3 linked regions of the Canis lupus familiaris genome follow. The protein of the gene in region 2 interacts with the protein of the main gene of each other region in a pairwise test. Links are inferred from orthologs where the notes say so. Each region holds a gene or a part of one and is shown on either strand. Other genes may lie near its edges.

What was found. The genes of interacting proteins can lie anywhere in the genome.
Region 1: the proteins of GFAP (region 2) and PDLIM1 interact in binary tests that used the Homo sapiens proteins (3 or more experiments, as listed by UniProt). The link is inferred for Canis lupus familiaris from reciprocal best matches to the Homo sapiens genes GFAP and PDLIM1.
Region 3: the proteins of GFAP (region 2) and NXF1 interact in a two-hybrid assay, tested with the Homo sapiens proteins (3 studies listed by BioGRID and IntAct). The two-hybrid records come from large-scale screens. The link is inferred for Canis lupus familiaris from reciprocal best matches to the Homo sapiens genes GFAP and NXF1.

Annotation. Positions count from the first base shown.
Region 1 is NC_049249.1:8,975,439-8,979,006, reverse strand, and holds part of PDLIM1 (PDZ and LIM domain protein 1), read left to right. Parts: intron 1-3,321; coding exon 3,322-3,521; intron 3,522-3,568. UniProt on the Homo sapiens protein: Cytoskeletal protein that may act as an adapter that brings other proteins (like kinases) to the cytoskeleton. Involved in assembly, disassembly and directioning of stress fibers in fibroblasts.
Region 2 is NC_049230.1:18,455,334-18,459,628, reverse strand, and holds the start of GFAP (glial fibrillary acidic protein), read right to left. Parts: upstream 2,843-4,295; 5' UTR 2,817-2,842; coding exon 2,353-2,816; intron 1,469-2,352; coding exon 1,408-1,468; intron 1,214-1,407; coding exon 1,118-1,213; intron 33-1,117; coding exon 1-32.
Region 3 is NC_049239.1:54,407,309-54,410,876, reverse strand, and holds part of NXF1 (nuclear RNA export factor 1), read right to left. Parts: intron 3,125-3,568; coding exon 3,041-3,124; intron 2,931-3,040; coding exon 2,826-2,930; intron 2,730-2,825; coding exon 2,649-2,729; intron 2,540-2,648; coding exon 2,470-2,539; intron 2,327-2,469; coding exon 2,238-2,326; intron 2,111-2,237; coding exon 2,003-2,110; intron 1,848-2,002; coding exon 1,738-1,847; intron 1-1,737.

The DNA of each region.
Region 1 (3,568 bases), on a different chromosome or scaffold from region 2:
GTTTAGTGCCGCCTTCGGCCCAGGGCCTGATCCTGGAGACCCAGGATTGAGTCCCATGTCAGGCTCCCTGCATAGGGCCTGCTTCTCCCTCTGCCTGTCTCTCTGCCTTTCTTCTCTCTCTGTGTACCTCATGAATGAATAAATAAAATTTAAAAAAAAAATGAACTGATGAAAAAAAAGAAAACGAAATCATGGAGTGTATTGTGTGAATAAATTGAGTAGTTTTTTATAAGTCCAGTTTTCTCAAAGGTATCTGTTAAAATTTCTGAAATGTAGTTACACAACATTTTTTTCAGTAATACATAAAAGTCATACTCAGGAAATCCTAAGAGTTATATTAAGGACCATTTTGCATCTGGCATTTCAAAACTGGCATAAACATGTTTTTCCGTATAGCTCTGTAAGGAAAGCTGATAGAATGGCACTCAGCCTATAAACCAGTAGTTGTACAAACTAATTTTATTTTTTTATTATTTTTTGAAAGTTTATTTATTTTATAATAAGGTCTACACCCAACATGGGGCTCAAACTCACAACCCCGAGATCAAGAGTCACACACTTTTACAACTGAGCCAGCCAGGCACACCTCATGCAAACTGATTTTAAACATATCACCATTAATTCCAATTTCCCAAGGAGTTCTTTCTTAGCTACTTCACTGAATTTACTGTAAATGTTAAGTTTTAATGTGTTATGTTCTCATACATTTTATAATACATAAGGAATGATTTTGTTTTAATTTGGTCTACCTAAAATCTTATCTTCGCTTAAATAAGGTAATACTTAATGTTTCAGTTAATACTTTTTATATGTCTTATGCTTGGGTTTTCATCATAAACATATAATCTGGTCCCTGTATTCATATTTTGAAAGGTATTTCCCTTCTTTAAAAAAAAAGAATTTAAAAAATTCTTTACAAATACTTTAGCATCTAACTTGAGTATATTTTTCTTTTGATTCCAGTAATTCTTCATTCCTATGAAAAACTTCCCACTCTCCTTTTTCCAAAACCTTCCACTTCCAGTCATTCTAAAATAAAGGAATGAGTAAGAGCAGAGTTCATCTATAATTAAAAGATCTGTTAGTTCATGTAATGCCAACCACCACCCCAGCTTATCTGAGGTCAGAGTAGTTACACACCTAGTTTATATTTCCTCATTATTGAGTTTCCTTGGAGACTGATAAATACAAAGCCCAAACAATTACATCATCCTTCCCAAAGGCAGGCCCTGAATTAACCGCCTGACTTCTGGACAGACCAGTATTCACATGGGGTTAGAGATATTCCTTTTATGTACAAAACAGATACATTCTCAGAAGATTCTCTATAAAGTGAAAACTCAGAATTTCCAACTGGGATAATTTTCTGTTGACGTCCGTTCTAATTGAAAAGGTGTTTCTAGGGAGGGAGAAGGGACCCAACACTGGTTGAATGTCTGCTACGTGCCAGTCACTGTGCTTGGTATGCTAGTATGTCACACCAAGTCCTTATGGACAAGGTTTTATTTACTTCATTGTAAAGATGAGAAATGGGTTCAGAGGGATCCCTGGGTGGCGCAGCGGTTTGGCGCCTGCCTTTGGCCCAGGGCGCGATCCTGGAGACCCGGGATCGAATCCCACATCAGGCTCCCGGTGCATGGAGCCTGCTTCTCCCTCTGCCTGTGTCTCTGCCTCTCTCTCTCTCTCTCTGTGACTATCATAAATAAATTTAAAAAATTAAAAAAAAAAAAAAAAAAAAGAAATGGGTTCAGAGAGCTAGAACTTGCCCAAAGCCAAACAGGAAGTGATAGGAAAATTGAGTGGAGACAGAAAAATAGGAATCTTCCTTGGAATCTTCCTTGGTGCTCAGCATCCTGCTCTGAGGAACTGCTGCAGAGAGAGAGAATAGAACTGCGACTATGGCTGTGTCTGTGTGTCTATCCCACGCTGCCCTGACGTGCATGCACCAAAGTCCCGAAGCCACCACCAATCTACAAATCCACCGCTGATCTACAAATCCCCTGCTGTTAATGACTATTCCTCAGGGGTTGTCATTCCGTAAAATTCACTTAACCATGCTTTGGTTACTGCTGAAGTTACTCTCCTAACTAATTAGACCTCCCCCTTTATGAAGGATCTGTGTGTACTTTGCTTTTGTCCAAGGTGGACAAAGTGAACTCAGCCTTCATTTCTACATTAAAACCTCACTGTTTCCAACTGGTTAAAAAGGAAGCCTATCTGACTAGTGAAAAAGAGATTGCAATCAAAATATTTTCTTGTGGTCTTTTATTTTAAATCAGTACATTGTGAAGTAGGCCATTACTTTTCATCATAGTGTTTTTAAGAAGGTACAAAAGACTTGAAGTTTTGGCAAAAAAGAGAGAGGGAAAAAAAAAGGAAGAGCAACAGAAGACCAGAACTCTTTGGGGGCCAGTTGTTATGGGCCTCGGTGTTAAGAAAGAGAACAGGGTTCAGGAAAGTTCTGTATTGGGGAACACAGAAAACATGGTGCATGTTGAGTTTAATAGCTGCACCGTCCGTGTAGTCGGGTTGGTCCAGAATATTTGTGCGGAAAAAGCATCTTTCCAGTTGGATTGTCAGAAAAGCCATGATTTTTAAGAACAGGAATGTTAGTTTAAAAAGTGTGTGTGTAAGTGTTTGCAAAGAAGCTCTGGGCTGTTGTAGTGGCAGGAATTACCCAGGGCTCCTGGCAGCCCGGGGAGGGGTGGAGGGCACCGGCTCACGTTCTGGGAGGGGCCGGGTGCAAGGAGCTCCTGGACGTGCCCCTCTAACCGGTAGCTCCAGCCTCTAGCTCCAGCCTCTGCCTGCCCAGCCGAGCCGTGGCCTTCTCCTGCAAGCAACCACAGACCCTGAGCTCCTTCTACCCCTTCCTGCCAGAGCACCAAGCCACCTCTGTCATCTCAGCAGCTGCTTTGCCCGGTGGCCTCACAGGCTTCTTATCTTGCTTGTCTGACCCACTGGATCCTAGCTAATTTGTTTCCACATTTTATCGTTTCCTGCTCCACACTGACCCAAGCGACTGCCTGTTCTTCTCCTCCTTGTACCGTAATCCCTCTGGAATGTGCCCTGAAAGGGTGTATCAGCTCCAGCTTGAATCATGACAGCCCAAGGCACCTGGGGGTGTCGTGCCCACGGGTGCCCAGCTGCAGATCAGGCCTGACTGGGCCCCAGGGAAAAAGGAGAAGCCGGAGCTGGTGTGCGACCCAGGGCCACTGTAGCTCATCAGAACACCTTTCTTTCTTTCTGCATTCAGCCTGCACTGTCCCTCGAGGGGTGTGCACCAAGCGCCTCCTTGATTTCTCTTCTGATCTCTGCCGACAGGAGGTCCTGCACATAGGAAGCGCCCACAACCGGAGTGCCATGCCCTTTACCGCCTCGCCGGCCTCCAGCTCTGCCCCCAGGGTCATCACAAACCAGTACAACAACCCAGCTGGCCTCTATTCCTCTGAAAACATATCCAACTTCAACAACGCCTTGGAGTCAAAGACAGCAGCCAGTGGGCAGGAGACAAATGGCAGAGCGTAAGTAGGCCCCTGAAATCCCCCACAGACCAGTCCTGGAAAAAGCT
Region 2 (4,295 bases):
CGGGCCAGCTGCTCCTGGAGCTCCTGCACCTCCTGGCCAGGAGAGAAGGGATGCCAGGGCTTGGGGCCTAGGCTGCAACTGGCATTTCCCCACAATATCATGCCCTTGCCTGCCTGCCCCTTGGACATTGATGTTAGCTAAGGGAAATTGGGCAGTCCTATTAGAGGAAGTGGCATGGCCCAGGCCAGGGGAGGCAGAGGGTAGTTTGGGGGCCTCATGGTGTCCTCCTCCCAGGTTCCACCAGGCAGGAGCACTGAAAGTGTGCCTGTGTTCTTATGGAGAGCAACTGAGTCCCTGTGGTGTGGGTGTGTCTGCAGGGTCCCAGGTTCCATGGCATCATAGATTATGAATCTATAATCTGAAGTCAGATCTCAGTGGTGTCTTTTTAAAATGAGTGGCTCGGGCAGCCCTGGTGGCGCAGCGGTTTAGCGCCGCTTGCAGCCCGGGGTGTGATCCTGGAGACCCTGGATCAAGTCCCACATCAGGCTCTCTGTATGATGCCTGCTTCTCCCTCTGCCTGTGTCTCTACCTCTCTTGCGCCCTCTCTGAATAAATAAATCTTAAAAATAAATAAATAAATAAAATAAATAAATAAATAAAAATAAAATGAGTGGCTCGCATTTAAATGGAGACAGGTGGCAGTGGGGGTGATGTCAGAGAGACTATGTGACCTCAGCAAGTCACATATCTGGGCTTCGGCGTCCTCCTCTGTGAAAAGGAAATAATACCGGAAGGGTTCCTATCACACAGGGCTGTTGTGAAATAAAAAATGGGGTGGGGCACCTGGGTGGCTCAGTGGTTGAGCGTCTGCCTTTGGCTCAGGTCTTAATCCTGGGGTCCTGGAATCGAGTCCCACATCATGCTCCCCATAGGGAACCTGCCTCTCCCTTTGCCTATGTCTCTGCCTCTCTATGTCTCTCATGAAGAAATAAAATCTTTAAAAAAAAGGAGGGGGGGGCAACAAGTTCTGTTATAATTCTTAGTAAGTGGTGTGTGTCTATGGATTTCATCAGGGGCTAAGGATGCTCTCTTATCTCTCTGTCTGTCTCCCCTATGCTTATTTTCTTTCTGTCTGTCTCTGTCTCTCTATCCATTTCAATCTCTCTGAGGGCCTTACCTCATCGTGGATCTTCCTCAAAAACCGGATTTCCTCCTCTAGAGACTCAATCTTCCTCTCCAGATCCAGACGGGCTAAGGTGGCTTCATCTGCCTCCTGGAGCAGGGAGGGACGAAAGGCTGCTCTGACCCCAGACTCCTTCTCCCCACTCCCATGTCTTGTCTGGTCCCTCCTTCTGTGGCTGGGGAGAGCAGCACATTGCTCTGGAGGGCTGGGCTTAGGGGCTGTGTGAGTGAGCTGCCATCAACTCTTTACCCCCCTCCCCCATCCCTCCCCTCCACCCCCCTCACCTGTCGATAACTGGCCAGGTTGTTCTCAGCCTCCAGCCTCAGGTTGGTTTCATCCTGGAACCTGGGGTAGGGGGACACATTCCCGGGTGTCTGCCCCAATCTCCCTGGAGGTGGCTGCCAGAGAGACCCCCACCCCTACCCCTAGGCCCAGTGGAATGACAGGAGGAGTGAAGGGCAGAGGGTCCCAGACAGAGCCTTGGCCAGGAGGGTGAGCAGATAAGGGCCTGTGCTTTAACTCATTACTAAAGTGCTTTATCAAGGTTGGTGCACCTGCTCCTGCTCACACAGGCACTTTCACCAACATACACTCACTGCTGCATGCACACTCATCTTCCTGTACTTGAGGGCACACATGCCTGCCCTGCCAGCTCAGCAAAACGCCACGTCCCTGGGGTTTCCTCTGACCTTTGGAAATAGGTTTATTAGAATCTCTACTTCACAGCACTGCAAGCTAAAGTGGCTTGACCAGGATCATAAGCTGGTGACAGGCAGTATCACCTGTGTTTCCAAGCCAGGCTCACCTGCTCTTTTCCTCACCTCCTCCTTTGCCCCAGAGCCCCGTCCTCCTAGTGAACACCAATCTTCCCTTCCCATTTCTCCACTCCACGGGCTCTGCAAGGGCACCAGGCCCAGCGGCAGCGAATGAAACATGAAGACCCTGCCTATGGGGGTCCCTGACTGTTCCCACATGGCTTTCCCCAAAGGGGAGGTGCTGAGAGCACCGTGGCTCCTCTGCAAGAGGTCTTTGGGAGTCAGATCCTTGGGACTCGGCCTCCTCCCAGTCCCTCTCATCTTGGGGAGCAAGGACAGCCCTCCCCTCCCGGAGATGGGTAAACAGAGGAGCCAAGGATCACAGAGTCAGAGGCTCCGCCTGAGGTCCTGGGCCTGCGAGGGGCGGGCGTCTTCCCTGCTCCGGAGGTCCCTCACCCCGGGCCCCCTCCTCACTTCTGCCTCAGGGTGCCCAGGTCCTGTGCCAGATTGTCTCTCTCGACCTCCAGCCGGGCGCTGTTGGCAGTGAGTTGGTCTAGCCGCAGCCTTAGCTCTCGCAGCTCGGCCTGGTAGACGTCGGCCAGCTTGGTGGGCTCCTTGGCCCGCAGTTGGTTCAGCTCAGCAGCCAGAGCCTTGTTCTGCTGTTCCAGGAAGCGCACCTTCTCGATGTAGCTGGCAAAGCGGTCGTTGAGCTCCATCATCTCGGCGCGCTCGCTGGCCCGTGTCTCCTTGAAGCCGGCGTTGAGCGCCGCGGCCAGCGAGAAGTCCACCCGGGTTGGCGGCAGCGGCATCCGAGCCACGGAGGGGCGGGGGCCCGGCCCCAGACGGCGGCCGGAGCCCGGGCCTCCCCCCGCCATGTCCCACGAGGAGACGTAGACGTAGGAGCGGCGAGCGGCCGAGGCGACCCGTCTCCTCTCCATGCTGGCCCTGCCCGCTCCCGGGAAGTGAGGGCTTTATGGAGGCGAGGGCTTGCCTGGCACGGCCCCGGCTGCCCCTGGCAACGCCCCCTGGCATGGCCTGAGGGGGAGGGGCTGGGCCGCAGCTCCGGGGGGGCTCCTCTCACCCCACCGAGGTCACTGTGCCCAGGGGCTGGGCCTCGTGGGCACGCCAACCCCAGCCGGGTCACAGACAGAGGTGCTGGTGGGCGATGCCTGGGGCCTGATGCTCCATCTGCGGCCCTGACCACTTAGGCAAGGAGGCCCTTTCTCTGGGAAGTTGGGCCAAGAAAGGGCTGGATTAGATGACCTCTGACCCGCTTTCCACCGCTTTCCACCTCTTAGATCCCATAAAGCAGGCCTTCCCGGCTCAGCACTCCTCCTAGTGCCTGCTAAGTGCTGGAATTTGCGAACAGCAAATGTGTTCCATACTCTCAAGAAGCAGCCCGTGTTACAGTGCTGAGCCCCGATCCTAGTGGACTGTTGGACTTCTCTGCTCTGAACATAGGCGTCCTGCATTCCTGCTTTCTCCCCCTTCCCCGGAGGTCTGGGGCTGTGGGCTGGAACTGGATACCAGCCCTTTGTCTAGAGGGTCATTTGAGGCCTCTGTCCAGCAGGGGGTGGGGGGTGAAGGAAGGGACATAGAAGTTTTGAAGGGGCAAGAAGGGCAGGTGTTGGACTCCCTGGCCTTCTCCCTGGACCACACTTAAGCCCCTGCCTCTGTCCCACCAAGTTCACTTCCCCTGTGCCTGGCCTCTCTGTACCCCTGCCTAGAGCCCGGTCTAGACAGCTGCACAAAGCAGTTATAGATGAGCTGGCTGTCCCAGCTCCCATCTTTGTTGCTCCATCCCCCAGTTTCCCCACCACCCCTCACCTCACTTTCACACTGGAGATTTATATCCTTTGAGTTCCCACACATCAGGCTGAGAGGATGGGAAACGCCTCTGGGGATGGGTCATTTTGGGAACCCAGGAGCCACTGGGTCCATATTAGGAGCCCAGGCTGGCGTCTTGTAGCCTGACACTTCAGATCCATCCACCCTTCTCTTCTGATCCCATGGGGCCAGAGCCTCACCCAGGCCCCTCACCCATCTGTGTCCTTGGATTTCTGGGAAGCCTTCCTCTCCCCGCCCCACTGAGGCCAATGCCTGGGCCTCTGATCCCTTCTCCTGGACACTTGCTGAATAGAGCCTTGTTTTCCACCACTGGTCAGGGCGCCACATGGAGAGGGCAGCCCCCGAGGGGCTGTGCTGTTTTTATCCCAAGATGCCAGGCTGTTAGGCAGAGTACAGCCCAAGCCCCCAGCTCAAAGAGCTTCTCGGAAGCATCTGAGGGGGCCCCGGGGGCAGTGGGGAGCAGGCTCTGTGCCCACCCCCGACCATTGTGTCTGTGCCAAGGTGAGTCATTCAGTGGGCACAAGGCAAAGGCCCTGGTAGGGGGGCGGGGGCCAGCCCAGCACTGCAGA
Region 3 (3,568 bases), on a different chromosome or scaffold from region 2:
CTAGGAGCAAATACTCCAACACCCAAGGGATTAGCCACCCCGTCCTGCTTGTCCTCTCACTCCTCCCCAGCCTCTGAGCTCTGGGGAAAGAGGCCCCACTCCCCACTTCACCCGGGGCACCCAGAAACAACCGCCTTGAAGGCAGACGCTCTTCTTGCTGCCTGACCCGAGCGCCACAAGAGCAGCACTCCCAGCCCAGGCTTTAAGCCAGGACCTCCTTCCCCTCCCTGCCCCCCTTACCTTCCACCTACTCACCTGTGCAGCCCCGGGAGGAGGGAATGGGGTGGGAGCCCAGGGGCTCCGCTGCCTCAACAGGTATCCATCAGTTCTGCCCAGCCTGGCCATAGCCAAGACCAGAACACACCACAGGGATGGCACAGGATGTTGGGGCAGGGAAATGAGCAAGGTAGGGGGTCAGGAAGAGGTGAAGGAAGAAGATGGAGAAGGAGAAGAAGAGAAAGAGAGAAGGGAGGATGGGGCCAAGGCCAGGGAGAGATGGGGACACAGAGGAGGGGAGAGAGTAAAAAGAAAGAAAGCAAAGGCCAAAGGAGGCCTTAGGAAAAACAAGGAAGAAAAAAGGGAAGAGGACACCCGACACAGCCTTTTCCTTCAGCTGCCCCTTCTTTCCCTGGTCCAAGGTACAGACGGGAAACAAATTCTCGCTGCGGCCGGAGGGCAGTTGCTGTTGGCCAGGTCTCTGTCTGCTACCTGGGTCCCAATCTGAGCTGGGCGTGGGATGTGAAGCAGCCATGGGGGCAGGAGACCTCCCTCAGGAGGGGTGAGGGTTCAGGCCCCTGCAGAGTTGGGGGGGTGAGGGTCTGTGCCCCACCTCTGTTGGCCCCCAAGTTCTCTCCTGATGGCCCCTCTGCGACTGTGCCTGTCTTAGGTTGTTCCTTCCCTGAGGAATCTTACCCGTCTCTGGCTAACCAGCCATCCTCCGGGGCCAAGCAGGGTGACGTGAGGTGTGCGAGTGAGGGCGGGGCAGCGCCCCCAAGAGGGTCAGTGCTCTGTCTCCTCCGCAGTCTATGCCCCCGTGGCCTCCACGCCCAGCACCTGCCTTGGGCTTCCCTCGCCTGCCGGCGGGGCCCCAGCTCTGCTCACACAGCTTGGGGAACCCAGGTTTCTTCTCCAGGGAGGGCCCAGCTCACACAGCTCCAGGCAAGAGAGACAGAATGCATGGCACCAGCTCCGAGGAGGCCTCAACCTCAGCATGAGGGAGAAAGCCCAGGCAACGGTGGCCTTGGGCACGTGGACCGTGAGAAGAGAGTCCCTCTTGGCCAAACGGCAAGAGGGGCTAGCGCAGAACAAAGAAGGAAAGGCCCATCAACAGGAAGTCCCAGGGCAGAAAGGCTTTCTCAGCCCTGGGACAGCAGGCTCTTGCATAAGGCAGCTCCATGTATGGGGCAGATGACAGATACCCCATGGTCATGCCACAAAGCAGGAGATGCCCTTCCTGGAACAGGAGAGTAGGGAGACTCTAGAAAAGGCTGTGTTTGGGAAGAGGAAAGACCACAGAACAGCAAACAGGTAGTCAGGTGAGAAGGAAGGTAAGGAGACCTCGGGGCCAAACTGGGACACACAGACAGACGAAGGGAGGAGCATGTGATCCTCCCAAAGGACAGGTGGTTCCAGCTCAGGGCTGCACATCTCCTGCAGACGGGCACTGGTCAGGGTACATTAGCTCAGCCTCCCAGGGGGTGAAGGTCCCCAGGAGGGGAGACAGAGGCTACAACTGACCTGATGTAGGTGGACTGATCTCGGAAGGTGTCGCACAGCGGGTTTCCGTCAAGCCACAGCTCTTCCAGCTTCAGCCCTTTTACCTTGTCCAGTTCCCTCTCAGATTTCAACTGCGGAGAGGAGGGCAGAGAGAGTGGGCAGGAGACCCCAATGAGGGAGCCGAGCCAGTGAGATCCCCACACCGTGCCTTCTGCTGTCAGCAGGCGAGCCCTCTGCACCCTCTACTCACCGCCCCACACAACATAACCAGACCCTCAGGTCTCACCTCATTTCCGGAGAGGTTGAGGATCTTCAGGTTGGGTGCTTTCTGCACAAGGCTGGACATGTCATCCAGCCTGTAGAGCCTATTGTTGCTCAAGTTCAAGGACAAGAGCTACAGGCAGAGAAAGGATTAGAGGAAGCACTGCCAACAAAGGATTCGGAGACACATCTGCCTCCTAGCCCCATTCTACCTGTCCCACTCTGCCTCCTCCCATCTCTAAGCAGGACAAAAGCCTCACCTCAGGGATATTCTCCTCAATGATTCGCAGCGTAGCCGCCATACAGCTCCTGCGATTCAGGACAACATCGATGTTCTGGGCCACCAAGTCTTCAGGCAGCATAAAGGAAAGAGAGGAAGTCTGAGAGGACTTTCCCACGTCAGAGTTCATACCAAACTATTCTCAAACTTTCCCCGCCCGACAGACCCCCCTCTGCCTCCACCTCTCTGAGAATGACCGCTGCTAGTCATACCTGGGTCTGAACGGAGACCCTTGAGGTCAAGTGCTTGTTGGGAACCATCGTATCGTTTGCTCATGATCAGCTACAGGAGAAGGAAAAGGGGTCAGCGGTCACTCGGGTTGTGCAGAGGGGTTGTGGATGTGAGAACTGGTGGAACTAGAGAGGAGACACATGACGTGAGCCTGCCTCACCTTTAGTTGCTCTACTTGTTCTGGCTTCAGTTCGTTCTGTACAGAATGGGGTGGGACAGAGGAGTTGATGATGATAGATATCTGCAGGGAAGACACAGAGAGCAAGGTGAATTCTGGGAAAGCCTAAGCCACAGGACCACGACCCAACTCCAGCCAAGCCAGGCCCTTTACACACACCCTTCGGTTTTCCTGATCCAAAATCTTATAGTTGACAGCTTTCAATGCAGAGGCGGTACTGGCATCCTCCACAAAAAACTGGGCCCGTGTGTTTTCATAGTGAAACTGCACAAAGAGGAAGAAACAAGAGCATGAGACTGGGAGCCTGGGGCCCCTGGTCCAGCTGGCCCCTCACCTTCCTTGGTGCCCAGTCAGCCACCTGGGCCTTATCTCACCTCAATGGGGGTGAAAGGGACACTGCACTTGCTCTGAATCACACTCAGGAGCCATGACTTGTCATATTTTCTCCCATAGGGAATCTAGATGAGAGAGAAGGAATATCATGTAATAAAGGCTGACCAACAGACTCAACCTAGTGCTCCTTTCACACCTTCTGCCAACTTCTATGACATTTCCTAAAGGAAGGGCCAGTTAAAAGTTTTTTTTTTTTTTACTCAAGTCAGACACAGATTCCTTACCTTCCTTTCTGCCCATTTAAACTTAGTATTTTTCAAGAAAATAGAACTATGTGGTTCCTTTTTTAAATTTAAGATTTCATTTATTTATTTATTTAACACAGAGAGAGAGAGAGAGAGAGAGAGAGAGCGCGCGCGCTCAATCAGGGGGAGGGGCAGGCAGAGTGAGAGGGAGAAGCAGGCTCCCTGCTGGGGTTTGATCCGAAGACCCTTGGATCATGACCTGAGATGAAGGCAGATGCTTAACCGACTGAGCCACCCAGGTTCCCCAAACTATTTGGTTCTAAA